2 linked regions of the Tribolium castaneum genome follow. The protein of the gene in region 2 purifies or fractionates together with the protein of the main gene of each other region. This does not show direct contact. Links are inferred from orthologs where the notes say so. Each region holds a gene or a part of one and is shown on either strand. Other genes may lie near its edges. The genes, in order: ATPsyngamma and V-type proton ATPase catalytic subunit A.

Region 1 (9,229 bases), on a different chromosome or scaffold from region 2:
TAAAAAAAATACACAAAAACCTAATCGTTTATTATTGTAAAATTAAATTCATCCCAATTCAAGTTTGCCTAAATTTTTCGTAATTACAACTTCAGGGAGAGTGGCAGTGATAATTCCAGTCGCTACTGTTACTTTATTTTCCCTAATTGTAAAGGTTTGCCCAGGCAGCATTACCATTTTTGATAAAAGTGTAAGTTCAACTTGTCCATGTTCACCGGGCATTATCATTTCAACACCTTTAGCTACAAATATGTGATGAGGTAACAACCTATAGAAAATATCAAACAAACCTAGATCAACTCTACACGATATACTCCAGGTTTTGCTAAACAACTGTTGGATGTATTTTCCCGTGACAGGTTTCGATCTACCGCCTTCATTTTTCGCTAGGAAGTAAATGCTTCCAGCAAACCTATTCGATAACGTAACACTATTTGCTTGGCACAATAGCATCCCTCTTTGGATATCTTTCAGTTTCACGTTTCGTAGCAAAAGACCGACGTTTTCGCCAGCTTTTGCCTGAAATTTCATCGTGAGATCAAAGTGATGTAATGATTTATTTTCTCACTTCAGGGACACTTTTTTTGAAAACTTGTATATCTCCGATTGTTGTCTTTAATTTTGTGTCAAAACCCACGAGTTCAGAACTTGCGTTTTTCTTGACAATTCCTCTATGAATAGTTCCTACAACGACTGTCCCTCTCCCGGGGACAAGGAAAGTGTTGTCAATGGGGACCATAAAAGGTGACTTAAAATCACGTTCAGGCACTGGAATATACTCATCCAGAGTGTCCAACAATTTCCTAATTGCTTTCTCCCCAAATTCTGACTGTTCCCCTTCTAAAGCTTTCAACGCAGACCCACAAATCACTGGTGCATTTTCACTGTCAAACCCGAAATCTTCCAACAACTCCCTAATTTCGAGCTCAACCAACTCTAAAACCTACAATCCCAGCTTACAACATAAACCAATCACAAATTATCTTTTGCCTCATTATCCACCAAGTCGGCTTTATTCACAAAAACCACAATGTTCTTCACCCCGACTTGCTTCGCAAGCAGCAGGTGTTCCCTGGTTTGGGGCATTTGGCCGTCGGTAGCCGCCACGACTAAAATAGCCCCATCCATTTGGGAGGCCCCCGAGATCATATTTTTGATGAAATCGGCATGCCCGGGACAGTCAGTGTGAGCGTAATGGCGCTTTTTCGTGCTGTAGCCCACATGGGCCGCGTTTATCGTAATTCCGCGCGCCTTTTCTTCGGGGGCTTTGTCAATCTCGTCGTACGAGACGTAGGAGGCAAGACCATCTTTTTGCAATATTTTAGTGATGGCAGCGGTTAGGGTGGTTTTTCCGTGATCGACATGTCCAATTGTACCCACATTAATGTGTTTTTTGTCGGCGATATCCGAATATTTTCGAAAATTTAGCGCCGGACGTGACAGATTGAGGTTAGGTGACACTCGGTGACATAACCGGTACGAAAATATGAAACTGTTTTGCAAGGATGTGCCACTTGACGAGGAAAATAGTGCCTTTTGAGGCGAAAAGACTTGGACTAGCTTTAGAAGTTTCAATTTGGACATTTTTGTAATTTTTGAGAGGGTCAAATTGTCAACCCTCACATCTCAACATCTCATCCTCATTATATCTTATTTACTAAAAATCTCATAATATGAAATTTTCTCGTCTTTTCTTATGTAAAAATTTGAAACTAATATAAAATGATGATATTAACTTTGCCGTGTATATCTATCGTTTTGTTGGTGTAAGAACTTGAATATTTATTTTTGTAAGGCTAAAAATTTATAGGACTCCAATCACAAATAAATTGTAGCAGCTCCCTCTACTTTTACATGTCACTTTTTACGTCACCAATTTTTTATAAACTTTATTGTCAGGTGACATAAGAGCTATTATTGCAAATCTCCAAATAGTTCATTTTTTAGCCACTTCTTGCAGTTTCTGACCCAGGCGAAGTCGCAAGGTTAGTACCGAAGATCAAAATTTTCCATTTTTTTCGCTATTTTACGTAATTAACTCAATTTAATGTTTGTTTCCCCATCTAACATGTCATTGCTTTCGATTACATAATACCCATTATCGAATTTTATCAGATTTTTCTGCATATAAATTCCGGTTACATAATCTATTTCAGATCCAATCATGTTGGGTCGTTTCGGTAGTTTGGTGCCTTTAGTCACCCAAAATGTGCAACAACAAAGGGGTATGGCCACCCTTAAGTCCATTTCGATTCGCCTCAAGTCCGTCAAAAACATCCAAAAGATCACCCAATCAATGAAGATGGTGTCGGCCGCTAAATACTCCCGTGCCGAACGCGAGCTGAAACAAACGCGCCCCATCGGAAGTGGAGCCACCCAGTTTTACGAGAAGGCCGAAATTTCGGCCCCTGAGGACCTTCCCCAGAAGCTTTTAATCGCAATGACTTCAGACAGAGGTAAACGCCCCCAGTACGAAAGATCTGGACCGAAATTTAATGTTTTAGGTCTTTGTGGAGCTGTCCACACCAGTGTTGCTCGTCTTATTCGCAATGAGTTGAATAATGACCAACAAAATTTGAAAGTTGTGTGCGTCGGAGACAAGTCGCGACTTATCTTGCAACGCATGTATGGCAAAAACATTATCATGGCATGCAACGAAATCGGGCGTTTGCCCCCAACTTTCACCGATGCCTCAAAATTGGCCGATGCTATCCTCAACTCCCAGTATGCGTTTGGGTCGGGACAAATCGTCTTTAATCGGTTCAAGTCGGTCGTGTCCTACAGCACCCAGACCTTGCCCGTCTTCAGCTTGGCCGCAGTTAAGGTAATTTATTTTTTTATTAGTTTTTTAGAGCAACTTTTATTTTGTATTTAGCAGTTTAGCTTCTTTTTTGATGAAATATTACTTTAGTACTTTTTTGACAGCGACAAGCAATCAATAAAAAAAGCCTTTTGTCATTACATATTTAGTGAAATTTTCGAGATGCGATATTTTTTTATTAGTCTTTGTACTCTGTAGTGTTGTCCAGTTTTCAAACTAAAAGTTGTGTATTTACGTTAAAAACTTTATTTAATATGTATCTTTTGCAAAAAAAGAAGTTTAGCTTGATCCAGAAGGAAGATATGACGATGTATACGAAAAATTTCACCAATTTTAAGTTTTTCAAAAATTTTCCCAAAAACGTTTTTTTCATGATGAAGGCAAGAGTTCATTACAGGGCCAAAAGTGCTCCATTTTTTATTTAACACTCATTATTGAAGGGAAATAATATTCAAAAAACATCTTTTTTAGTTTTCAGGTTTTTTTCTGAATTAAATAATCTTTTTTTTAAGACTGTTTACATTTTATTTAATTTATCTGTTACCAAATTAATAAACTTTTTATTTTACCATTTGGAGCTGTACATGGCTGTACCTGTTTGGTACCACCCAGCAAAAATTTCCAAGTTTAGAAAAGATTAAATGCAATCAAAATGCAGGCGACACATTGGAATACTTACATTAAAATACTAAGATCCCCAACTTTTTATCATTTTATTATGTTCTATGGAAAAATTCTATTAATTTCCAGTTTGTAATACATGTACTTAAAACTGTTGTTAATAATTATTAAGGTAATAATTTACATTGGATAAGAATTATTAATCACTGACCTACTGCGACAAAATTCTTAAATTTTGATTAAAAGAATTAAACGTCCTCAAAGTTTACTTCGATTTCGCTATTTTTGATTCGATTAACATTAATTATAATTACATTAATAAGAACCAAAATTTAAGTCTTTCGTTTGCCACTGAGTTACAAAAAATGTCTTCTGAATCTGATTTATAAATAACTATAATTCCTTATTATCGGTTTCAGTAGAAACTTAACAAGTTTTCTTAATATGGCTTTTCTCATACTTATCCATTTATCAAAAACTAAAGAAAACAAATCTTACGTTGCTTTAACAGATAATTTTTCCCTTTTTTTACAAAAACCGCGAAACAATCTTTCAGATGACCTTTTCTTATTTATATAAATTTATTGTTTTACAAAGTTGTAAAGATGCAAAATATCATATGTATTGCTCACAAGGTCCTAAATAAAACTGAGAAAAAGGAAATCATACTCTGCAATCAATAAATGATGGCATATTTATTTTTTAGACATGCAGATTGAATAATGTATCCCCCATGTCATTTCATGTCGCATTATCTGTGATGCTATTGCGAGCATAACAGTTTTTTGATATCAGTAGTAAACAACTTGATTTGCTAATTTAAAGCGGTTTTAAATTTTGCACTCATATGCATAAAAATCACAACTATTTGGTAATTTTTCGGGTGGACACAAAGGTGGGCTAGCGATTTTTTAGGTGGACACGACGACCCATAATTCTTCCACTGTCCTCTTAATAATTATTCATGGGCTTCATAAAATTAATGGCTAATGTAATTTATGGTTCTAATGTCCGATCTAATTAACAACTATTAACGTTATTTAAAAAAATAATCTGGTAAAATTCGATGTTTTTATTGAATTGGAATTACAAGTAGCAACTAGAGAAAAGTAATGATAAAAGATCATAATCCAGATATGTAATTGATAATTAACTTTCTCCATTGTTTTCTAGAATAAACACATATTTTTTAGAAAAATGCCATTCCTTGTTTTTCTCCTGTGGTTTTTAAGTAATTAATTTGATTGGGTTTGAAAAATGCGTTGAATTCAAAATCGGTTTTTCGCAGACCGCTGCCAAGCTCCCGGTCTACGACTCCCTCGACGATGAAGTGATCCAGTCCTACTTGGAATTCTCTCTGGCTTCTCTTCTGTATTACGCCATGAAAGAGGGCGCCTGCAGCGAGCAGTCATCCCGGATGACGGCCATGGACAACGCCAGCAAAAACGCCGGCGAAATGATCGACAAACTCACCCTAACGTTCAACCGTACCAGACAGGCCGTAATCACCAGAGAACTGATCGAAATCATCTCTGGTGCTTCGGCCCTTTAGGTAAATACCCCGTAAAAACTTGATAGTATAATGCTGTATGTAAGGGTCGAACAGAATAAAAACCACGTAAGCCCAAAGTCACTGGATCCGGACATCGATCCTGTTTTATTTCGGTTTAACTTTTACATAAAATTCAGCGACATTTTATTGTCATACATTTAATTAACATCAAATAAAATTTGTTCACTGGTCCATCTCATTTTTTAAATCCACCATGATTCGTAGGAACCGAGCCATGCGGTCACGTCCGCCCAATCGGGAAACGAGTTGATGAGTTGGGCGTAGTGGGGGACTTTTCGGTTTTTCTCGTCGTGGACGAAAATGCCCGAAATGGCGATCTCGGTCGTGACTTCGGTAATGTTCGGCGGGACTCGCACGTCGAAGCTAAACCTGAGAGGAGCTGCCTCTTTGCCGTAAATGTGGATGATAAAATACAAATCGCGATCATTCCATTTCGCCGAATCTGAGGGCATTTTGTCGACAAGACTTATATTTAGTACTTTTACACCGAATTTGGGCGAAAAGTAGAGGCCCATGCGGTCCGGACCTGTCACTTGAATATCATAGCGTAAAACATCAGTCGAGATTTTTTCTTTTGATAATACTTCGAGTTTGGTCGGTTCGGGTAATACTGGCTGACCGGCAGGGATCCATGTACTAAACTCACTAAAGTTTGGTTTTTAAAAAATTATACAATTCTTACGAGTTGAGTCTTACATTATTTGAACCATTTTCGAATGAACTAGGGGTAAACCACACAATAAATATTGCTTGCAGTCTTCGGTCAAAGGTCGAGCCCTTGCAAGGTCTTTCACATATTTACTGACGATTTGTGGCGAATTTCTATCCATGTTGAGGAAAAAATAACCAGAGTCGCGTTTAGTTTCGACTCCTTTTTCGTCGTGAAAAACACGACGTGTGTGCTACAAGCAACCAGTCATGCCACACAAACATTTTTTCTGTAACTTATTACCAAAATCCAGTAACGTTCAGGAGCCGGCGAATCCCGATTACCACTATAGGGGAATCCCAGAGGTGTCAACATTATGATAAAACTGACAATAAAAATTCCTGTCAAAAAATACAGCACGTATTTGAAATTCCGTACAAGTGTTGCAAGGGCAACCTGAAATTTTTGCCTAAATTTAAAACAAAAGGTATTGCGAATTAATTACGAAAGGCGAGGTGATTAAAACTGTAAATAGAAGTCCTTGAAGTCCGATTAAAAGGTCAGCATTTTTATCAGGTCCAATTCTCCCGGTAACTGGGATAAAAAGTGATAAAGTCGTTAAAGTTGTGTACATCAGAAACATCGTTGGGATTACCAAACTGATGACATAAATGACTTGCCATCTTCGTACTGAAACATTCTGATTGTTGTCTGTTTACATTATTTTGTTGCGTTACTTGTGTGTTGAATTCGGAACATGTAAATTATTATGAATCCTAGAGTATTGAACAATACGGGCACTAAGAGTGCATACATTGCTCTGATTTGTAAAATGGTCCCAAGAATCATTATCACAGTCCAGATAACACGCACGGAGTGCACTTGTATTTGTGCTTTCACGTTGTGAGTCAAATTCTAAAAGGTGAATTCATCATTAGTTTTAATATTGTTTCGTACAAAAGAAAAGAAAATAAATTTAGGTACAATTTACAGAGGACTAAATACTAGGAGGCGAGGCATGGTACAATATAACTCGATATTCTGCCCAAAAATTAGTGCCGGAGTAAAAATAAGATCGCTTCAATCCGTCTCCCAAGTTGTTTTAAATTAATTTAAATTAAAGACCATTTTTTCTTTTAGAACAAATTTAAACAGTAAAAAAATCTCATAAAAAAGTGCATGTTCGACATGTATCAAAGAAAACCAAAAATGGTTACTACTACAGAGTATTTCCAACTCTGACACCAATACAAACTTGAAAACGCCACCACATCCTTCAAAAAGGTCACAAATTCGTTTTTATAGAATATTTGTTATTTTTCTTTAGCAACAATAACGAGCTCCAAATGAATTTTTATAAGTTCTAAAAATTCGGGGAAGCATATTTCAATCGTCTTCAATGTAATTTCCGTCGGGAAAACAAGTAGGCCAAGCCAAACAAGCGCTTTCCCCAATCAAAATTTTAAAAAACGCTGCAAATACGGTTTAATTTAATACAAGAAAGTTGTAGAGTATTAAATTTCCTACAAAAAAGTACCACAAGACCTCATCTTTAACGGTTTAGACCCAAGACATTCAAAAATGCTCAAGCGATATAGTTCTGTAACATAAGTAGTCTATAACTTTTTGTATCTTCAACCATACGTATTTGCACCCTTTTAAAAATAGAGGACGGTGTGCAAATTGGTAGTTTTTTTTTAATATACAGGGAACCTCCCTTAATGGACACCTCCGAATAACGGACATCTCTTTACAACGGACAGTTTTGTTGGAACGTAACAAAACCTATATTAAAATTTCCCATCTCCCATTAGTAGACACCTCTCCACAACGGACAATTAAAAATTCCCCATCGGTGTCCTTTATTGAGAGGTTTTACTGTAATAATTTTCTGTAAAAGGTTTGCTTTTATCTGATTTAACTCTTGCTAGTGAGAAAAAATTCTATATACTCGTAATTTTTTGTTTGCCTTTTGTCACCATTATATAAATTCATTTATTTTTTATTTCTTTGCTCTCAAAACTGACAGACTAATAGGAACACCTGCGCTATGAGGCTAGAACTACCTAGAAGGGGAACCGTTTTATTTGTACGTCGTGTCGTATCCTAGTTTTTAGTTTCCGTACTTGAGTTTTATAAAGAATAATTGAAAAACTGTATTTTTTATTTTTTAAACTAGAAAATTATTATCGGCTTCTACTTGACGATGTAACTGAGGCATTTCTTTGTGTAATGACTAATGACTGTAGTTTTTCTATGGTTATAAGGTGAAGGATTAAAACACTTAAGCAAACGTGAAAAAAATCCGGGTTTCAAAACGGATAAAAGAGGTAATTTTGCCAATTTGTTACCTTTTGGCTGATGAACGGCAACAAAACAGTCGAAAGTGCAACGGTTGGCGCTGCATAAAGTCCGAAAATCAGCCACGGATTGGCGTACCAACTCATGGAATACCCGATTTTGTCAACAAGGAGTGCCAACAAAACGGCAAAAATCGCTGCTAAAACCCACCCACCGATAATAGCCCCGAAAGTCATCGCTAAATATTTAAGAGTCTGTCGATTATACCCTGAAATAATCAAATGATCCCAGATTTCGCCCCAATTTCAAGTCCACTCACCCAACTTGAAATTGTGAATACTTAAAACAAATATCCCCAGTGAGAAAATCCCCACAATTGAGTTAACGACAATTGCGACGGTTTGCGTGTACGAAACCATCGTAAATCCCAGAAAATCAAAATAGACCGATTTTCCGGGATTATCCTTGGGATTCGCCACTTCAGGTGCATTCCCCAAACTGCGGACCAAATGCAAAGTGTTATCGCCGACGTGCTGGAACGACCCGAGCGGAATGTGCTCGAAGTCGTCGTATTTGGTATGATAGCGGTAGCCGTATTTGAAAAACGCCATATCCAGGCCCACTAATCCTCCATAATCCCGGAAAATCCGGAAATCGGTGTCGGACGGCACCAGATTACTTTGGAAAATCTCCTCGCCGGCGGCTTGCCCGTACGGGTGGGGCACCTTCTTGTAGTGGTTGACCAACCAGGGGGCGTGGGGCCCCGTCTGGAATAAAATTATTTTCCCGCCGGCCCCCGCAGCCTCGAGGTTTATCACGACTTTGCAGTCTCTGGCCCACTTGTGCTGGGTTATGAACCCGTGGGCGGCCTGCAGCCCCGTCTCCTCCGCCCCGTTGAACAGAAAAACCAAATTGTTTAACGGCCGTTGGGGCTCTTGTGTTATTTTGCGCAAAACTTCCAACATCACGGCACAGTTTATCCCATCGTCGCTCCCTCCGGGGCTTGTCGGGACCGAATCAAAGTGTGCGTTGATCAAAACACTCGCGTTTGTTTTTCCGGAAACTTTCACGACAATGTTTTGCAAGTTTGAGTAAGGGACGAATTTCCCGTGGGGCTTCATTTCGATATAATGAGACCCTGTGACTACTTGGACATCTAACTCAATTCGGTGGTTCTTGTGAGCTTTTTGCATAATAATGTTGATCTCGCGCTGGAAAAAATTTGCAGCCAGGACTTCGCTTTCGTAGCCCCCGGCCACACGGG
Region 2 (8,296 bases):
TTTGGGTAGCCATCTCAAATAGAAATACTTAATTTAGAAAAAATAATTCATAACTCAAAAACTAAAAGTCGTTAAGCAAAACAGTTTGTTTCAGTGAATTGTGCGCCGTATTTTACGTTTTGTACCAACTCTTTTTACAACACTAGCTTATTCGAAAATATATTTTTAAAAATTTCTTAAATTGAAAAATGGTGGATGCGCCGGGATATTCATTAAAAATTCATAGCTCAAAAAACACAAATCGTAGACCAAAATAGTTTGTTCTAGTAAATTCTACGGCTCATAGTACCACAAAATTTAAAATTTTGAAATTTTTTGCCTAAAATTTTAGTGGTCCTTCACGTTCAGAATTTTTTTTAAACTCGCTCTAGCAAAGTTTTATTGACTTTTCTATGCCATTACAATCCTCTCGAAACATTAAGAATATAAAAAAGTCATTTGCTTCGATTTTGTCTGGTTTTTTGCAATTTTTTTCGAGATTTTTGTCAATTTCGGTACCCTGTACATTTGTCGGGCAATAACTCCGGAACTAATAGAGATAACCTCATTAAGTTTATTATCGTTGGAAAGCTCCATTAGATATCAATCTTTTTCAAAAAAAAACATCGTCCTCTGACTAATAGTTTTCAAGAAAATAGCAAACAAAAAATGTAAAAATAGGTAAAATAAGAAAAACAACAACGCTAACTTTTAATTGTTTCGCCGTAATCGGCGCTTGAAAAGCGAAAATTGCTACGTTTTCTCGCGTTTTTGGAAACCATAAGACTATAAGAGCACAAATTCAAAAAGCAGATTGAACTTGAAATTATCTATTTCTCTATTTTACACTAAGAAAATCATAACTCAAAACGGAAAAGGTGTAGAGCAAAACAGTTTGTTCCAGCAAATTCTACGATTCATTTTACGTTGTATATTAATTTTGTATTAATAAAACATTTAAAATATTAAAATCATTTCATTTTTAAAAAAATGTCTCACCTATCTCTTGAGATACTTCGCCGTCTTGCCCTTGAGCGACTCCTCGTATCTCGACTCCTTGACCGCCTTCCTTTATAATTCTTTTCTCTACTGTAACTTCTCCTATAAACTGTTCTTTCTGAACTAGAATTTCTTCGTCTCTTTTTTGCTTGCTTTGACTTATCATTGTTTGGTTTACTAGTCGAAGGGCTTTCTTCCTCATCTAAATAAAACGAGATTAAAAGCGCCAAAAACAGTAACAATTTAAATACCACCAAACGATGTGATGTATGTAATTTTGCCACTATTTTCCGGCGTCGGTGATTTCGAAGGCGATTTACTTTTCCGAAACGAAGGGTAAGTAGGTGATGTCCGTGCGGCGTAACTTGGAGGACTTATCACCCTATTAGCCAGACGTTTTTCCCTATGTGCTCTATCAAAAAAATTAGATAAAAAATACAGCTAATTGTGGATAAATACCGGCGCTCCCTTCGCGATTTTCGTCCTGAAAACAAGGCTTTTTCATGCTCTTCTTCTTTGGCAAGTCTGAAGCTTTCCGCCTCTTCAAGATCATTTGTAAGAAACGAATAAAAATCATTTGAGCTCATCCCAAAGTTTCTGCCGTGGCGATTCATTTCGTGTGCTTGAACCGAATCCATTTTTGAAACATTAATGGACAAATCAACGTCCAAATCAGAATCAGAATTGCCGTCTGATTCTTCATCATTGTGGTAGTCAGGGGCCAAAGTTTGTGCTAAAAATTCCGACTCGATTTTACCCCAACAGCGTTTAAAACCCACCAGTGTTGTCCTCGTAGTTAAACCCAATACTAGCACCTCCAGTCCTTTGCTCCTTCTTTGACTTGGACTCAGTGTAGCCAAACTGCTCCTCCAGATGCAATTGTTTCAAAAACTTCTCCTCATTGATGCTAAGGAACGAGTTTTGGGCAATAATCCGGTACCGTTCGTAATTAATTTGCCGTTCTTCAAACGTCAATTCCTCCTCTTCTTCCTTCTTAACAGGGGGGATAAAATCTAAATGTGCTCTTACATCAAAACGGTCAATTAAATTATCAGCTTGTCCTTGCCACGGCATCCTGTAACAAATTGATTGTCGCCCATTTAGTGTAATATAGGGGCTCACATTGCCGAAGCACTGTCTGCCGCAGCTGCGATGGAGGGGTCCAAGTGAATCTTGCATTGTCTTCCGTGGATTTGTAAAAACTGAGTTGGGTCGGCTTTCTATAAAACAACAGTAGATTAAATTGGATAGGAAATGAGGGAACAATACGATTTTTTCGTAGAAATCACGGCGTCGTTCTGCCCTTCGCCGATAGTCCACCAACATGCCACGAATTTTGCGTTCTTGTCGTCTTGCCTCATGCCACATGGTTTTTATGTTTAAAACTTGTGTAATCAACCGAAAATAACAATAATTAAGAGGCGGTTACAAGAAATAAAAATGCCATCACATTTCACACATCTGTCAACGCGCGTTGCGCTAACCCAAGGACGCGCTCACTTTAATTTTATGCTCCTAAAAAATTAACAATTTTTTAATAGCTCATCGCCATATAAATGAATCTACTTTAATATTTTCACAACAAAAACAGACAAAATTGATTTTTTGTTGCGATAATTATTTTTGTTTAGGGTTTTTGATTCTCCCGCCCCGTCATTACGTTACACAACCTCACTTTTTGCATGTGGACAAGTTTGAAGTCTTGTGAAAGCATGTCTCATATAAGGTGGTGTTACATTATTTTTTTGTAACACTTATAACTCCTTTTTCTAGATTTAACGAAAATGAAAGTGACTACAACCCTACAGATTCTGACGAGGATTATACCGAAAACGAGAAAATCCTTCTGAAGAAAGTGCGAAACAAACAATCTAAAGACTCAGACAGTGAGGGGGAAGTGTTTGGGGTGGGTTCTGGCACTGACGATGACGATGACCAAAGTGATATTGCACTGAGTGACGTTGAGGAGCAAGAGGACCAAGACGATTTGCCTGATATTAGGGCCTGGGGCAAAGACAAGAGGAAGTTTTATTCAACAGACTACGTAGACCCTGACTATGGGGGCTTCCAAGGTAAGGATGCCCACTTGGCCGAATTGGAGGAAGAGGAAGCAAGGAATTTACAAAAACAGTTGGCTGAACAGCTAGACGATGATGATTTTTGCTTGGATGTGCCCACCAAAAAGGTAGGGTTTAAATTTTTTGATTTTTTACTAAATCGTGGATAGGTCATTGAGGACGATAAACAAGTGTCGGAAGAATTGATCAAAAGCGACATTTCCAAATTAAGTAAAAGGCAAAAATTACAAATACTGCAAAAGGAATCGCCAGAATTCTTCGGACTGGTTGAAGATTTTGAAGAAAAAATGGTTGTCGCTCGAGACTTCCTCAAACCAGTTTTGGTTAAATTTAAAAAGGGGCAAATCCCCAACTGTTCAGCAATGGAGTTTGTGGTGACTCACCACGAATTAATTTTAAAGTATTTTTCTCAATTTTCTATTTTATTTTTCCTAATTCACAAAATTGTAGTTATTGCGTTAACATCAACATGTATTTACTGTTGAAAGCCTCAAGAGTTAACGTGCAAAACCACCCAATCATAAAACGTTTGTACCAATACAGACAACTGTTATCACAAATGACGCCAGTTTTCGAAGAGGTGATTAAGCCCCAAATTGAGTTACTCTTGAATGAAGAAGAAAAAGAAGTTCCGAAAAAAACATTAAAGGTGTTGAGCACATTGGTTAACAAAACGGAAAAGAAAGACAAGAAACCAGCAGGGAAAAAAGTCCAATTTAAACCAGAAGTGGACGAAAAAGAAGCAACAGATAATGAACAGCAAATGCAAGACGAAGAGGCAAATGTTCCCGAGAATGGTTTGATTTTTGTTTGTTGCGATTTTTTAGTCATGTTTTGTTGTAGATCCTGGCAAGAGGGCTATAACTTACCAGATTGCCAAAAATAAGGGTCTCACGCCGCACAGAAAGAAGGAACAAAGAAATCCAAGAGTGAAGCATAGGAACAAGTTTAGAAAAGCAAAAATACGAAGGAGAGGAGCTGTATGTCAACTTTTAGTATTTTTTCTTAAATTTAATTGCGCTATTTTTAGGTTCGTGAGCCGCGAACCGAAATGACGAGATATGGTGGGGAGCTTTCCGGGATTAAAGCAAGTGTTTCCAAGAGCATTAAAATTAAGACTTAATAAAAACGCATATGAAACAACAATGCTTTTATTTCTGTTTACAATAAAACAATTTATTGTGCTATTTTCTAGCTAGTTCACTTAATATTAACACAGATAACTGTACAAGTAGCCGTTTGAATAACATGATAAAATATACAACATCGAAATATGCGTAAATAACGAAAAAATAAAATGTAAAGAAAAAAAGGTCCCGATAATACTGGAAAGCTGATAATTGCACGGAAACACGAAAATAAAAATTCCTTAAAAGTAACTGGAATGAAGGGACGAAATTTAGCAATTTACCCTCACCTCTAATCTATAGGACTTAGACCTATGAACTAATTCATTTATAAACATATTGTACATTAATATCGAAAGACGGCAATTTTATAGTGAGGTTAAATATACGGCCTACAATAAAACTAATTTAATCCTCCAAGTTCCTGAAGGCTTGTTGAATATCCTCGTACAACTGGTCAAAATCGGCTTTGATTTTCGCCTCGCCGTCTTTAACTGGGTCCTTGAACTTCATACTGCTCAACTGGTACAAAATATTGCTCATGGAATCCCTGATCACGGTCCACGTGATTTTATTTTCAGACTGCGCGGTGCTTTCAACAGCATGTCGCGACATATCGTACAAACCGATCATATTTTTCAACATACCCACCGTCTTGTAGAACGGACAGAACCTATCGTACGACGAGTACGAATTCTGTTGCAAGAAATCTTCCTTAAGCAACTTGGCAATCTCAAGAGTGATTTTATCGGTCTCGGCTAGGGAGGCTTTACCGACCAGTTGCACGATTTCGGACAAGTCTTCTTCTTCTTGCAAGATCTCCTTGACCTTAGTACGCAACGCGACAAACTCTTGGAAGTTTTTATCGTAGAAATCGTCCAAAGCGCGCGTGTATTTAGAGTAGGAAATCAGCCAATTGATCGAAGGGAAATGTTTACGTTGGGCTAGTTTTTTATCCAACCCCCAGAACACTTGTACGATACCCAAGGTAGCTGAGGTGACGGGATCAGAGAAATCACCACCAGGGGGCGATACGGCCCCGACAATAGAAACGGAACCTTCACGATCAGGGTTACCCAAGCATTTAACACGCCCTGCACGCTCGTAAAACGAAGCCAAACGGGCCCCCAAATACGCGGGGTATCCAGAATCGGCGGGCATTTCAGCCAAACGACCGGAAATTTCTCTCAAAGCTTCGGCCCAACGCGAGGTGGAATCGGCCATCATCGACACGTTGTAACCCATATCACGGAAATACTCAGACAGTGTAATACCGGTGTAAATTGAAGCCTCACGGGCGGCTACAGGCATGTTAGAGGTGTTGGCGACAAGAGCGGTACGTTTCATGATAGACTCTGTTTGGCCTTCGATTTCGACTGTCAGTTCGGGGAAGTCCCGCAATACTTCAGACATTTCGTTACCACGCTCCCCGCAACCGACGTAAATGATAACGTCAGAGTTGGAATATTTGGAGAGAGATTGCGAGATTACGGTCTTACCGCAACCGAAAGCTCCGGGAATGGCGGTGGTACCCCCTTGGACGCACCTAAATAAAAATTGGTAGAGAAAAGGGACTAGTTTTTGAAAGGGGGCTTACGGGAAAAGTGAGTCGAGTACGCGTTGACCGGTTAATAGGGGGTGATTGGCTGGCAATTTCTCGCTGACAGGACGGGGCTGACGCACAGGCCACACTTGCAACATGGTGTATTTGGTCCTCTCGCCGTCGAATTCCGTCTCCAAGACGACTTCCTGTAGCGTAATGATAATTTTTAATTTTTTCCCCAAATGAAAAATAATTAAAAGTAGTGGCTTTTTATAATTAAAATTAAATATTAAATTAAATTAAATTTTAATTATAATTAAAATTAAAAAACATTTGAACGTTCAAAGTTCCACAAATAATATCACAACTCAAAAATAGCTATTTCCGAAATATTTTCTCTAGCTAAACACGAAAATAATCAAAAAAGTTTTGATTAGCTCTTATTGTCAAGATACAGAACTTGCTTGGGTAATTAATCTCACCATGGCTGGTTTGTGTGAAATTTATTCTTAGCTTGATTCTCTATTTGACCTTTTCAATTAAGTTTCAAACATTTCTGGTCGTATACAGAACGAGAAATTAAGATATAATCCAGAATTAAAATAATTCGAATTAGGTAGCCATTAGTTTTGCATTGACAAACCTCGAGTTCATGGCAAATTAAATTTTAACTACAATCACAATTATCGTGATAACGTTTAAAAGTTTTTTTTGTTGTTTTGTTTTTAGATTAGATTTATTTATTTTTGTCAATTCCACATATTTTGATACTGGCTCTTTTATTATTATTATATTATTATAAAGTACTTACCTAAGAACAATTTAACACATTTTACTTATTAGAAAGACTCATTTCCTTTGAACAATTTTTGTATCGGTTTAGAGTAAAAAAATATTTAAGTCGACGTGTCCAAAGTTTCAGATGTCTGTTCGCCTCTATTATTATTGTTTTTTCAATTTTTTTTTAATTTTGGCTTAAATAACTATAATGTAATTAGTTATTTATTTAAACAATTTCCTCATAAAAATGTGAATTTTAAAAAATCGTTCTATTTCTACTCATTACAATTAATTAAAATCTACTTTGCCGTTATGGAAAAATTGGAAAAAACAACGTCTGAATTGTTGACATTTCTACTTAATTTATTTAAAAAACTAAAAAAATAGCACCAAAACATGTGATTTTGATGACAAGTTACTTGTCTCAAATTTCATTAAAATCTATAATTCCATTTTAAAATTACTAAGTAAAATTCGAAAATAATTTTTGAACTTTGGCGCTTTCTAACTTTTACACGGTGCAACTTAGTACAGCAGAGGTAAGTTGGGTTAAATCCAGGATTTAAATCGTTTTATTTTGACCTCGAAAATCTCTTTTGTTTATGAAAAAAAAAGATCTCTTTTCGTTACACCCCGTATAATAATTTAATTTTAATTTTTTATTTTTATCAAAAAATTACAGGAATTTGTCTTCACTGTTTTAACTTTAAATAGATTTCTCTGTCGATGGGCTGGTGCGTATCTTGAAAATAAAAGCTAATTTGGTTATCTAGAACCAGAAAAAGGATAAAAAAATTTTTTTGTTGAGTAGTGATTTAATGATGAATTCAACAATATTTAAATAGTCTATTATTTGAAGAGTTTTGATGACTAAAATATGGAAAATTAATTAACAGAAAATGCATTGTGAAAATAAACTATCGATTTAAAACAGCAAACAATTATGCAAATATTTTTAACGGATTATGGTTGCTGTAGAGAACTTTTAGAGACGGTTTACAAGAATTAGTTGCAATTAAATTGGCAAATTACCAGATTCCTAATGTTTATTTTGATAACGACACAGAGCAACAAAAAGTTAGTCTTGAAATTTATTGTTTTAGAAATCTGAGAAAACATGGAATTATCAAATTATAAGATATTTGTTACATGATTCATAATCATAAGACAAAAAATAACGTCAGAGTTAACAGATAAATAGAATATACGTGCATATTTTAAATTATTCCGGAATGTCTATTGATTGATTAGTAAATATTAAACATTATCACTAATAGATGTTGCAAGGCGTTTATTTTAAACAGAATCTTAAGTTTATGTGCATTTGCAATCAGTAGTCGCATACTTTAGCAGACTTAAACTACTATTTTTATCAAAATCGCAAATAATCTATAGATCTCTCAATTTTTTCAAGACTAAACAAATTTCAAGATTTTACTTTATGGTATTGTGTATAATTTTTAATATTTCATCCTTTGTTGACATCAAAAGTCTTTAAATAATCGATTTTGTCAAATAAGGTAAGATTATAGAATTTGTACGTTCCCTTTAGAACATTTGTAAATTTTCTTTTAAGCTCATCAATTGCATTAGATTTCAAATCCCTCAAAATAAGCATGTTTTTAGGCCAAAATCGCATAATTTTCGCCGTAATTTGGTTATTGCTGTTTTAACGAAATTTCGCTTTTATATTCGTGTCTCTTCACCTATTTGTGAACCCTCAAGCCGCCAATTTTTATACAGAAAAATACTTACATCGACTGTGTAATTTCCGGGATCGGCGACGTATG

The links.
Region 1: the proteins of V-type proton ATPase catalytic subunit A (region 2) and ATPsyngamma fractionate together in Homo sapiens (co-fractionation; 3 studies listed by BioGRID). This does not show direct contact. The link is inferred for Tribolium castaneum from reciprocal best matches to the Homo sapiens genes ATP6V1A and ATP5F1C.

Annotation. Positions count from the first base shown.
Region 1 is NC_087396.1:15,930,727-15,939,955, forward strand, and holds ATPsyngamma (ATP synthase subunit gamma, mitochondrial), read left to right. Parts: upstream 1-1,831; 5' UTR 1,832-1,985; intron 1,986-2,156; 5' UTR 2,157-2,164; coding exon 2,165-2,456; intron 2,457-2,504; coding exon 2,505-2,824; intron 2,825-4,730; coding exon 4,731-4,994; 3' UTR 4,995-5,188; downstream 5,189-9,229. Other genes in the region: elongation factor Tu, read right to left, coding at 49-242, 291-519, 569-943, 991-1,584; endoplasmic reticulum metallopeptidase 1, read right to left, coding at 5,198-5,660, 5,712-5,917, 5,968-6,120, 6,170-6,354, 6,402-6,579, 8,016-8,233, 8,285-9,229.
Region 2 is NC_087402.1:9,100,970-9,109,265, reverse strand, and holds the end of V-type proton ATPase catalytic subunit A, read right to left. Parts: coding exon 8,262-8,296; intron 5,933-8,261; coding exon 5,781-5,932; intron 5,730-5,780; coding exon 4,592-5,729; 3' UTR 4,192-4,591; downstream 1-4,191. Other genes in the region: CLK4-associating serine/arginine rich protein, read right to left, coding at 979-1,180, 1,230-1,390, 1,438-1,711, 1,758-2,053, 2,101-2,198, 2,248-2,346; Sas10 (something about silencing protein 10), read left to right, coding at 2,661-2,704, 2,752-3,163, 3,206-3,456, 3,507-3,853, 3,900-4,036, 4,087-4,179. UniProt on the Homo sapiens protein: Catalytic subunit of the V1 complex of vacuolar(H+)-ATPase (V-ATPase), a multisubunit enzyme composed of a peripheral complex (V1) that hydrolyzes ATP and a membrane integral complex (V0) that translocates protons.